3 linked regions of the Oryctolagus cuniculus genome follow. The protein of the gene in region 3 binds, or shares a complex with, the protein of the main gene of each other region. Links are inferred from orthologs where the notes say so. Each region holds a gene or a part of one and is shown on either strand. Other genes may lie near its edges. The genes, in order: CALR, CALR3 and CELF1.

What was found.
Region 1: CELF1 (region 3) and CALR share a complex: the UniProt entries of both Homo sapiens proteins name them as parts of the EIF2 complex. The link is inferred for Oryctolagus cuniculus from reciprocal best matches to the Homo sapiens genes CELF1 and CALR.
Region 2: CELF1 (region 3) and CALR3 share a complex: the UniProt entries of both Homo sapiens proteins name them as parts of the EIF2 complex. The link is inferred for Oryctolagus cuniculus from reciprocal best matches to the Homo sapiens genes CELF1 and CALR3.

The regions. Positions count from the first base shown.
Region 1 is NC_091447.1:62,399,701-62,404,094, forward strand, and holds the start of CALR (calreticulin precursor), read left to right. Parts: upstream 1-1,551; 5' UTR 1,552-1,608; coding exon 1,609-1,699; intron 1,700-2,070; coding exon 2,071-2,172; intron 2,173-2,340; coding exon 2,341-2,544; intron 2,545-2,794; coding exon 2,795-2,889; intron 2,890-2,984; coding exon 2,985-3,194; intron 3,195-3,305; coding exon 3,306-3,419; intron 3,420-3,523; coding exon 3,524-3,667; intron 3,668-4,394. UniProt on the Homo sapiens protein: Calcium-binding chaperone that promotes folding, oligomeric assembly and quality control in the endoplasmic reticulum (ER) via the calreticulin/calnexin cycle.
Region 2 is NC_091447.1:64,868,077-64,871,131, forward strand, and holds part of CALR3 (calreticulin-3), read right to left. Parts: intron 2,762-3,055; coding exon 2,654-2,761; intron 2,008-2,653; coding exon 1,876-2,007; intron 1-1,875. UniProt on the Homo sapiens protein: During spermatogenesis, may act as a lectin-independent chaperone for specific client proteins such as ADAM3. Required for sperm fertility. CALR3 capacity for calcium-binding may be absent or much lower than that of CALR.
Region 3 is NC_091432.1:18,533,447-18,537,090, reverse strand, and holds part of CELF1 (CUGBP Elav-like family member 1), read right to left. Parts: intron 3,380-3,644; coding exon 3,252-3,379; 3' UTR 3,213-3,251; exon of another isoform or gene 1-3,212. UniProt on the Homo sapiens protein: RNA-binding protein implicated in the regulation of several post-transcriptional events. Involved in pre-mRNA alternative splicing, mRNA translation and stability.

The sequences.
Region 1 (4,394 bases), on a different chromosome or scaffold from region 3:
GGGAGGCTTAGATTTCTGTGCCAGAGCGCCAGCCCCCTAGCAAGTAGCTTTTAAGTTGGGAGGAAACAAGATGGGTAGTCCCCACCCTCCAGCAGGAAGTTCCAAACCCACGTGTCTTGGGCAGGTCAGTAGTGGGCCTGGGAGTCAACTTGGACTTGGCCATCTTCCGGGGGGGGGGGGGGGGCAGCAGGTGGGATGCTATTGTTTGGGAGAAAGAGTAGAGCCCCCAGGTCCCCCCCCCCACTTGTCTTTCTTCCTCTTTCTGGGTCTCCCCCACGGGCAGGGAAGGGAGAGGTAGGGAAAGGCATTGTCGGTCCCCCATGCCCCTGGAGACCCAGGAGCCCGGCCCACGCCCCCAGAACCGTATCTTCCCTACCGTCTGTGTCTTCCCCCCCCCTTCCCAAAGGGAACCCCCTACCCCTACCCTCTCGCCTATGGCCGTTTAATTGCAAAAGCGAGGCTGTTTGTGGCAGACCACAAGAAGGGAGGACCCGCTTGATTTTTTTTCTTATTTATTTACAAGTCACAATTACAGACCGGGGTAGGGGGGCATGTTCCATCTGCTGGTTGGAGCCGGGCACTTCCTCCAGGTCACCCACGTGCCCACGCCATCTTCCACTGCTTTTCCAAGCACATTAGCAAGGAGCTGGATCGGAAGTGGAGCAGCCGGGACTCGAACCGGCGCCCATGGAGGGTGCGGGCGCTGCAGACCCCGGCTTACAAGCCCCTTTCCACGACCGGCAGAGCATGACTGCCATTAGGGGAGCCACAGCCTCCAGCCTCCTCTTTGACCCCTCTTGCAGTTCCGCCCCCTCTGCGCGTGCACAGCCGTAAAAAAGAAAAAAAAAATCTTTAAAAAAACAAACTTGACAGAGGTTTCCTACCAGATAGCATCTGCACCAGGTCGCCACCCCTGGCTTTTGTGCACCACCGAGAGTTCAGAAACGAAGCGACTTGCCCCGGGCCACCCAGCAGCTGGCTGACAGGTGCCAGGGGCACCGGGGTGCAGCCCCCGCGGAAGGGGGGCCCCAAGCTGGGCGGGAGAAACAGTTCACGTCTGAACGCAGGTCCCCCACATGCAGGGCAGGCAGCGGGACGGAAGAGCCTTGCCCAGGCCGCCACGCGTCGGGATAGGGGTAGGGTCCCGGCGCCCGGACACCTGCGCCCGCGCGCGGTCTCCAAAGCGCCCCGTGGGGAGCCCGAAGCGCGCGCGAGCCGCCGAGGGCGGGGTCCGGCTGGGGTGCAGTCACGTGACCTGCCCGGAGCGGGGGCTCGCGGCCCCCACCCCTCCAGTAGGCGTCCCCCACAACGCGTGGTCGACCGTCATTGGCCGGTTATGCGGCCAATAGAAATCGGCCATCTGGGAACCCAGCGTTCCGAGGCACAACCTGACGTGCTGGGCCGACCGTCACCCAATGGGTAGGGAGAGCGGTGGCTGCAGACCAATGATAAGGTGGACGGGGCGGGCCTAGAGGCCGGGTCAGGTTGGTGTGAGGGGGCGGGCGGGTATAAAAGCCCTCAGCCGGCGGCGGCGTCCGTCCGTACTGCAGAGCCGCTGCCGGAGGATCGTTTTAAAGGGCCCGCGAGCCGCCGCCCCCTCGGCCCGCCATGCTGCTCCCTGTGCCGCTGCTGCTCGGCCTGCTCGGCCTGGCCGCCGCCGAGCCCGTCGTCTACTTCAAGGAGCAGTTTCTGGACGGAGGTAACGCCGGGGCCCTGGCTCGCCCGGGTCCCCCATAGCCCGGGCCCGCGGTGCGCGCGGCCCTGTAATTACCGCTCCGAGAGGACCAACACGGCGCGGCCCCGGGGGACTCGGAGCCGCGGGCGATCCGCCTCTCGCCTCCCCGGGGGAGTGTGGGGGACGCAGTTGCCGCTCCTGGCGGGAGTTGGGGTTCGCCCAGAGGTTGCCTCGAGACACCCCGGGGGGAGATCGCCGCTCCTGCCTAACTCCCCCCCACCGCACACACCTTGCAGCTCCTGGCAGGTGTTTGGATGGATGGGCGCTGGGGATGTGGGGGGAGAGAGGGTGGTCGGCCTGCCCTGCCCCTGTGACGCCCCCCCACCTCCTCTCAGATGGGTGGACCGAGCGCTGGATCGAATCCAAACACAAGTCCGATTTTGGCAAATTCGTCCTCAGTTCGGGCAAGTTCTACGGCGATCAGGAGAAAGATAAAGGTGAGGTGCCCGGGAGTCGCGTGGGGCTCGGCTTGTTGGAAGGAGCAGTGGTTAGCGCCTCTCCCGCAGGACCAGGGCAGGTGCAGGGGGTGTGTTAGGGAGGGTCCTTGGGATCTGACTCTGACCCTGACCCCGACCCCGACCCCGCCCGCTCCCGTGCCCTCCCAGGGCTGCAGACCAGCCAGGACGCCCGCTTCTACGCCCTGTCGGCCCGATTCGAGCCGTTCAGCAACAAGGGCCAGCCACTGGTGGTGCAGTTCACCGTGAAACACGAGCAGAACATTGACTGCGGGGGCGGCTACGTGAAGCTGTTTCCGGCCGGCCTGGACCAGAAGGACATGCACGGGGACTCTGAGTACAACATCATGTTTGGTGAGGGGCGGAGACGCACCCCTGAGCCGGCCAGCCCCGCGGGGCTCCCCGAGAGCCTGCAGACGGCCCTGGGGTTGGGGGGGACACCTAAGGGACTGGGTTGCAGCCAGCGGAGGTCCTGGTGCTCACATCCGGGGACTTCCTCATTGAGTTCTGGAGCCGATTGTGTTTGAGGGCGAGATGTCTTCCCTTTTGGAAAGAGAGAGGGTGGGGGCACTGAGCCCACTCCCTGTCCCCTCCCCCACCCCAGGTCCTGACATCTGTGGCCCCGGCACCAAGAAGGTTCACGTCATCTTCAACTACAAGGGCAAGAACGTGCTGATCAACAAGGACATCCGTTGCAAGGTGCTTGCCCCCCGCCGTGGGTGTGGCCAGAGGGGTGGCCCGGGCAGCGGTGGCCGCGGGTGGGCGGGGCCCGCTCACCACCCGCCCGCCCCCAGGACGACGAGTTCACACACCTGTACACCCTGATCGTGCGGCCGGACAACACGTATGAGGTGAAGATTGACAACAGCCAGGTGGAGTCGGGCTCCCTGGAGGATGACTGGGACTTCCTACCCCCCAAGAAGATAAAGGACCCAGATGCCTCGAAGCCCGAAGACTGGGACGAGCGGGCCAAGATCGACGACCCCACGGACTCCAAGCCCGAGGTGGCTGCTGGGGCCCAGGGCAGATAGCGTGTGGCGGGTGGGGGACGTGTGTGGCGGGCAGGCACGGGGCGTGTGCTCAGCTGGCCTCACGCACGGGTCTCGACCCCCCAGGACTGGGACAAGCCCGAGCACATCCCCGACCCGGACGCGAAGAAGCCCGAAGACTGGGACGAAGAAATGGACGGAGAGTGGGAGCCGCCGGTGATTCAGAACCCCGAGTACAAGGTGTGCCGCGGGGTCTTGGGCAGGTGGGGGCTCTCCGTGGGGCGCGCGCCCGCTTCCACTCACCCCTCTGTGTATCCTCCCCACCCCCCAACACACACACACAGGGTGAGTGGAAGCCGCGGCAGATCGACAACCCCGATTACAAAGGCACCTGGATCCACCCCGAAATCGACAACCCCGAGTACTCGCCCGACGCTAACATCTATGCCTACGACAGCTTTGCCGTGCTGGGCTTGGACCTCTGGCAGGTGAGATGGCGGGGTGGCCCTCGGGGCTCCGGGGCACCCAGGAGGAGAGGGACCCGTAGACCCGACCTCTTTCCTGAAGCTCCGGTCCTGGTCTGTGGCTGCGGGGCCCTTGCAGAAGCCCCCCTCCCCCCAGAAGGCCTGCTCCCTGTGCTCCCCCCAAGTCCACTGGTTGACCTAGAAGGTCATTGTCATCCGCTCACCTGCTAGAAAGTTGAGCTGGGGCAGGACGGGTGGGGCGGGAGTGGGAGCAGTCCTGGGTGCTCGACTTCCCATCCAGCTTCCTGCAAGTGCACCTGGGAGGCAGAAGATGATGACCCAAGTGCTTGGGTCCCTGCCACGCACATGGGAGACCTGGGATGGGTTCCAGGCCCCTGGCTGCGGGGGGTGGGGGGGCACCCACAGATGAGGATGGATTCCTCTCTCCCCTTTTCCTCTCTTGCTGTGTTTTTTAAATAAATGAGTATGTAAGGGAGGGAAAAAAAGACGTAGCTGGGACTGAATGTAGGTCCTGTAGTCAGTCCCTGAGCCGCTGGTGAGCAAGGGAGTGAGTGCCCATCTCCCCCATGAAGCAGCTGAGGTGTTTGTAGGGAGGCGATGGCGAGTCACTCAGGGTCGCGCAGACAGGTCCCGGTGGGGCAGTGGCTGGGACCCCAGCCCCCCGCCGCCAGGTGCCAGCAGCTCGCCCTGTGATGGATTCCGGGTGGGCGGGCGGTGCCCGCTCTGACCG
Region 2 (3,055 bases), on a different chromosome or scaffold from region 3:
AGGGCCTGGGTGCAGAGTCCAGCTCCAGCTCCTGACTCCTGCTTCCTGCTACTGCACACCCTGGGAAGCGGCAGTCCTGGCTCAAGTGACTGGCTCCTGCCACTCATCAGTACTTGGAAGATCTCTGTCTCCCCCTCTCTCATCTGGACTCTGCCTTTAGATAAATCAATGAACCAATCTGTTTTAAAAAACGAACCGCGGCTCTACCTCCAGGGTTCAGGTAGGGGTACCTGGCACCCAGCAAGTGCTCAGGGAACAGCATTAATGTACAAGTTCAGGCTGAAGTTCAGAGTCTAGCAAAGTTACAGTCAACGCTATGTTTTCAATGTGCTTTCTTCCCCCAAAGGTCTTGATCTTGGCACCTTGGTCCCCATGGCAGTACTGCTGAAGTGGTGGGACCTTGAAGAGGTAGGGCCCAGTGGGAGGTGGTTACATCATGGGACTTGACTCTCAGGAGTGGATTAATGCTGTCTGGGACTCTACTCTCAGGAGTGGATTAATGCTGTCTGGAGGGAATGCATCAAGAATCCTGGAAATCAGTTTGTTACCCCAGGAACAGGTGGTTCTGAAAGAGAGGTCCCTGGTGTCTCGTCTCACCACGCGCCCTCCGCTCCTGGTCCCTTAGTCCTGTCTCTCTGCTCCTGGTCCCTTAGCCCCGTCTCACCACGCGCCCTCCACTCCCGGTCCCTTAGTCCTATCTCACCACGCGCCCTCCACTCCTGGTCTCTTAGTCCTGTCCCTCTGCTCCTGGTCCCTTAGTCCCGTCTCACCACGCGCTCTCTGCTCCTGGTACCTAGCTCTCCATCTCACCACGCGCTCTCTGCTCCCCGTCCCTTAGTCCCGTCTCACCACGCGCTCTCTGCTCCCGGAGTCTTAGTCCTGTCTCTCCGCTCCTGGTCCCTGGCTCCCTGTCTCACCACGCGCCCTCTGCTCCTGGTCCCTTAGTCCCGTCTCATCACGCGCTCTCTGCTCCCGGTCCCTTAGCCCCGTCTCACCACGTGCCCTCCGCTCCTGGTCTCTTAGTCCTGTCCCTCTGCTCCTGGTCCCTTAGTCCCGTCTCACCACGCGCTCTCTGCTCCTGGTCCCTGGCTCCCCGTCTCACCACGCGCTCTCTGCTCCTGGTCCCTTAGTCCCGTCTCACCACGTGCCCTCTGCTCCCGGTCCCTTAGCCCCATCTCACCACGCGCCCTCTGCTCCTGGTCCTTTAGCCCCGTCTCACCATGCGCCCTCCGCTCCTGGTCCCTTAGTCCCGTCTCACCACACGCCCTCCGCTCCCGGTCCCTTAGTCTCGTCTCACCACGCGCTCTCCGCTCCTGGTCCCTTAGCCCCGTCTCACCACGCGCCCTCCGCTCCCGGTCCCTTAGCCCCGTCTCACCACGCGCCCTCCGCTCCCGGTCCCTTAGCCCCGTCTCACCACGCGCCCCCCGCTCCCGGTCCCTTAGCCCCGTCTCACCACGCGCTCTCTGCTCCTGGTCCCTTAGCCCCGTCTCATCACGCGCCCTCTGCTCCCGGTCTCTTAGTCCTGTCTCTCTGCTCCTGGTCCCTTAGTCCCGTCTCACCACGCGCCCTCTGCTCCTGGTCCATTAGCCCCGTCTCACCACGCGCCCTCCTCTCCTGGTCTCTTAGTCCCGTCTCACCACGCGCCCTCTGCTCCTGGTCTCTTAGTCCCGTCTCACCACGCGCTCTCTGCTTGTGCTCTTGCTATGGGACGCCATTCACCAAGCTGTGATGCAGCCAGAAGGCTCTAACCAGGGACCACACCCGCGAGGCCAGCTGATCCCGGACTTCAGCGTCAACACACGTCTTTCCACCGCATAGCCCGCCGCGTGGGTGCACTGTCCTAGCCAGAGAAAGTGGACTGAGACACCGAGTGACCTGCCAGAGCTCCAGTCCGATGGCGCCGATGTTCTCAAACTCCGAGAGGTCGTACTCCATCAGGGAGCTGGTGCCCCTCATCTTCTGGTACAGCCAGACGTGCTTGTCGATGCCCTCTGGCTTCAGGCCGTCCTGCAACGACCATGACCATGACCATGACCATGACCATGACGCTGCATGTGGTGGTCCCGGAAGGAGGGCCGGGGAGAGGGAGAGGGCAGCCCAAGGTCATCCCAGGGCATCGTGGGAAGGACGACACGGCCCTCGTGGGGGGGCGGCCCAAGGTCATCCCAGGGCATCATGGGAAGGACAGTGCAGCCCACCTGGGGGGGCAGCCCAAGGTCACCCCAGGGCATCATGGGAAGGATGGTGCAGCCCACCTGGGGGGGCAGCCCAAGGTCATCCCAGGGCATCATGGGAAGGATGGTGCAGCCCACCTGGGGGGGCAGCCCAAGGTCATCCCAGGGTATCATGGGAAGGATGGTGCAGCCCACCTGGGCGGGGCAGCCCAAGGTCATCCCAGGGCATCATGGGAAGGACGGTGCGGCCCACCTGGGGGGTGGTCCTAGGTCATCCCAGGGCATCATGGGAAGGACAGTGTGGCCCACCTGGGGGGGCAGCCCAAGGTCACCCCAGGGCATCATGGGAAGGATGGTGCAGCCCACCTGGGGGGGCAGCCCAAGGTCACCACAGGGCATCATGGGAAGGATGGTGCAGCCCACCTGGGGGGCAGCCCAAGGTCACCCCAGGGCATCATGGGAAAGAAGGTGTGGCCCACCTGGTAGGGTGGCTTCTGGAGCATCGGTGCCTGCCAGTCCCCATCCAGCTCACTGTTCCAGTCACTTGGTTCACTGGCGCCAGCGTCCAGAAAATGCTTCTCCCAGTCCTTCAAAGATGCGGAAAAGGCAAGACCAGTCAGGGTGGGGTGGGGGTGGTGGCACGGCCGGTCCCACGGCCGGTCCCCGTGACTCCGCTTCCAGTCCAGAGTCCTGCTAATGCTCCTGGGAAGGCAGTGGGTCAGATGGCTCATGCAAGTACCTGCGTCCCCTGCCACCTATGTGGGAGACCTGGGGGGGCTCCTGCTGTTGTGGGCATTTAGTGAATGAACTAGCAGATAGAAGATCTCTCCATGCCTCATGCTCTGTCACTCAGCTTTTCAATTAAATAAATAAGTTTTTTT
Region 3 (3,644 bases):
GGAGACCCACTGAGTTACACAGAGCAATACATCCAAACAGAGAGAGAGAGAGCAGGACACTCACTGTGTGTACAGCCCTGAAATGAGGAGCGGGGCGGGGCGGGGCGGGGCAATGACAGGGAACTTCTGCACATGCTAACAATGGACACAGGGAAGAGTCAAAAAGGACATGGAGGACACCAAGAAAACATCCACTTGCCAGAGACAGAAGGGAACCTAAGGCTTGGATTTCCTGGGAAGCACCCGACACTCAGGAGAAGAGGGTCTCTGGGAGGGGGCAGGGGGAACAGCAGAAGACGCTGGCCAGGGTAGGGAGCATTCTTTTAGGGAGAGGGCCCGGATTCCTGCTTAATCCCATGGGGATGGCCCTTTGTTCCCAGAAATCCAAGCTCTTAGCTTCCACACAGGCCCTGGCCACTCATGTGGAACCCAGGAGACAGTGGTCTGGCTGCATTCAAGGCAAATCAATTTCATGATGTAACCCAAGTAAGAAACAAAACTACAGCAGAAAACACATGTAAGTGAAACCTCCACATACAGAACAGGATTGCTTAGGACTCGACTGCGAGTCTCCACTCTCGAGCTGAGTCCTTTCACACTGTGAGACTTCTAGGGGAGCAGCTTCTTCACAAAACCATCTTTGGCCTGGAGAGAGAACTGTGCTCAAGGGCAGCGCTGCTGCTGTGCTAGCTCACTGGGAGGGAGGAGAGAACAGAGGGGAGGTATGGTCTCACCAGCTGGCTGCTGGGGCAGCCCAGGACCCCTGCTGGGGCAAGTGCTCCTTTTAGAAGAGAGAAGCCCTGAGCAGGGACGAAGTCGCAGGGCCTCGGCCTCGTATCTAGGGCAGGCAGATTGCACCTATGTCTCTCAGGTCATTGGGAGAGGGTTCTCATAAGGTCCCAGAGCCCAGGACAAACAATGGCAAATTGGGGAAGGAGTGGAGGGAGGGAGAGAGGTGGGGTGGAGAGGAGTTCTGATCACGGAGGAAGACAGAACAGAAGGTCAGGGAGCACAGCACCGGCAGCACCCTGTGGAGCACAGTTCTCTCCTCTGCCAATTCACAGCATTAATGCCTTCCCCTTGGGCAGGTGAGCTGGGCTGCAAACGGGCCACAGAAAGTCAGTAGTTTCAATCATACACAGCACCCTGTGTGTACAACAATCACATTCTGGATTCTACAAAATCCTGGCCTTTTCCAGAGATATAATTTAGGTAATAAATATTCTCCACCCCGGAGCTGTATAAAACTTCTATAAAAATAGAAACGACATTCTTGGTTCCAGCCGGTTGGGATTCAGAACAGCGCCTCCCCAACCTAGCATTTTTTTCTTTTTTTGTTTTTTTGTTCTTTTTTTTTTTTTTTTTTTTGCATTTATTTAAAAAAATCCCATCATGACCCTGGAAGCCTTTAGAACAGTTTTATCCTTTGAAACACAGGACACATTTCTCCCAGTGCGCAGAATTCAAGTTTACGTGGTTCAGCTTAAGAAGTGTATGCTTCATGTTTCTTAAGAGGACACGGACCCAAGTTATCACTATGAGAAGGGACAAGCTGTCCCCCCTTCAATGGGATAATCCAACACCACCAACTACCTGTACAACACAAGACGGTCACTCCCTGTCTGTTGCCCACAGGAACAGCAAGAGGAGGAGAGCGCCCCCATCTGACTTACTAGCAAACCAACCCCTTTATTCTAATCCCTGCTGCTGGGGTCAGGACTGACACTCGTGAGGTCTGAGATTGCAGGGACCCAGGAACTCAGTCCCTGACTGCTGATAATCCTATCCTCAGAGGGCACCTCTGGCTGGGTGCACACCGCTAACTGGCATGTCCTTCCTGGCTCTCTACCCCCTACTGCATTTCTTGGAGCAGAGACAGAGCCCAGAGGCTGGGTGGGGGTCACTGGCAAGAGCTGGAGTGAGACCTGTGGGAGGCAGCAAGGAGCTAACTGTAAGCACGAGGACAAAAGAGAACATAGTAATACTGAGGTAAATGAACACTAAATCCATGTTGAGGATGTAAACGTTCTGTTGTCTCCTCTGTCCCCGAGAGCAGAATATGGGGCTGGAGTGGTTAGCAGAGGGCTTGTGAGACCTCTGTGGCAATACCATACCTGGAGCACCTCAACCAAGGAGGCAAGGGTGGGCCTCTGATTTCTCTTAAACACTAAGTTCTGGCCACTGGCAAATGCAGCGTCCTGGCTTGCAGCCACCTACGGATTCAGGTGCCCCAAGCAGCAGACTCTTGTTCTTCCAACTAAATGGCTTTAGGTCTCTCAGCCCAAGACAGGTTCCCCCTTCAGCTAGATGTAAGTGCTGTCCCTTGCTGTGGTGCCCTGCCAGGAGGGATGCCAGCCAACGTCTGCCAGAGAGGCCTTCTTTAAAAGAACCTATTGGGCATGGGCCATGGTCACATTTGGTGTTGCAATAAACTAAAAATGATCTCTTTGGCTGCTTCTCCCAAACAGCCACCAGCCAGGCAGGGCCAATCCAATGCTGGCTAGGGAAGCTGATAATGGCTTATGTCTCCCTGCTTTTTGAATATGTCAGTCTAATTTAACAGCTGCTTTATTTCCAGGGAACTGCTAACCCCTTTTCAGGGAAGAGGGGCAGAAATTCAGGCCAACAATCTGAAAGATCAGTGGCAAAAATTTGTATGTCCACAGAAGGCAGCTAGCTAGAGGCATTTCTGCCTCCAGCTGCCAGGTGTTAGGGGTCACACCATTCCCACTGTCTTCCAAAGCCAACCCACCTCTGCGGTCCCTCAGCTCTTGGATGTCAGTTCTCATCCCATCCACCCTTGCGCTCAGGGAAATTTGGGTGGTCAGTTTTTTGTTCCACTCAGTCCTCTCTCATGGGGTGGTTTGGGGCAAATTCTAATTATCTTTTAAGAACATTTCCCCATTCCCCCTCCCCCAGGGTGGTTTGGTGTTGGTCCTTCTCAACACACACTGGTTACAAACACAGCAAACTTTAAATAAAGAAAAAAAAAAAAAAAAAAAAACTCAGGATATGGCACCTAAACTCCAAAGTAAAACACTGGAAACCAAAGCACAAACTTGTCCTCTGTACGAAGCGAAACTCCCACAGAAGGCAGTAGCCGAGTCTTCAGGGCAAGCTGTGCCTGCGAGAGTGGCGGGGATCAGGGTCCGGGGCTGTCAACACACAGCCTCAGGGCTTCGAATCAATAAGGGTGCTCCTCCCCCACTTACCAGAAGACCCTCTCACTTCAGTCTCAGAGGGGAGCACGCTCAGTAGGGCTTGCTGTCATTCTTCGAACGTTTGAGCTGCACTTTAAGTCGCTTCATGCCAATCTGAAAGCCGTTCATGGACTGGATGGCAGCTTGAGCAGAAACAGGATTGTCGTAACTTACAAAACCTGTGTGTACAAGCAGCAGCCGAGGTGAGGGCATATGGTGGCAAGAAGGTGTCTGGTCTCCACTACTCAAGGGACAACTTATGTGCTTAGTTTCAAATTCCAATTTTCTCAGCAGGGCCGAGAACTCTGGAAATTGTTATCTCAGAGTCTTAATTTGACATCTACATAGCCCCTAAAGAGTCTATTTTCATTCCAGTCCTTTCTGCACTCAGCCCCTTCTCTTTCTCTCTCAGTGGTCAAATATTTAATCCCACCCTGCCACAGA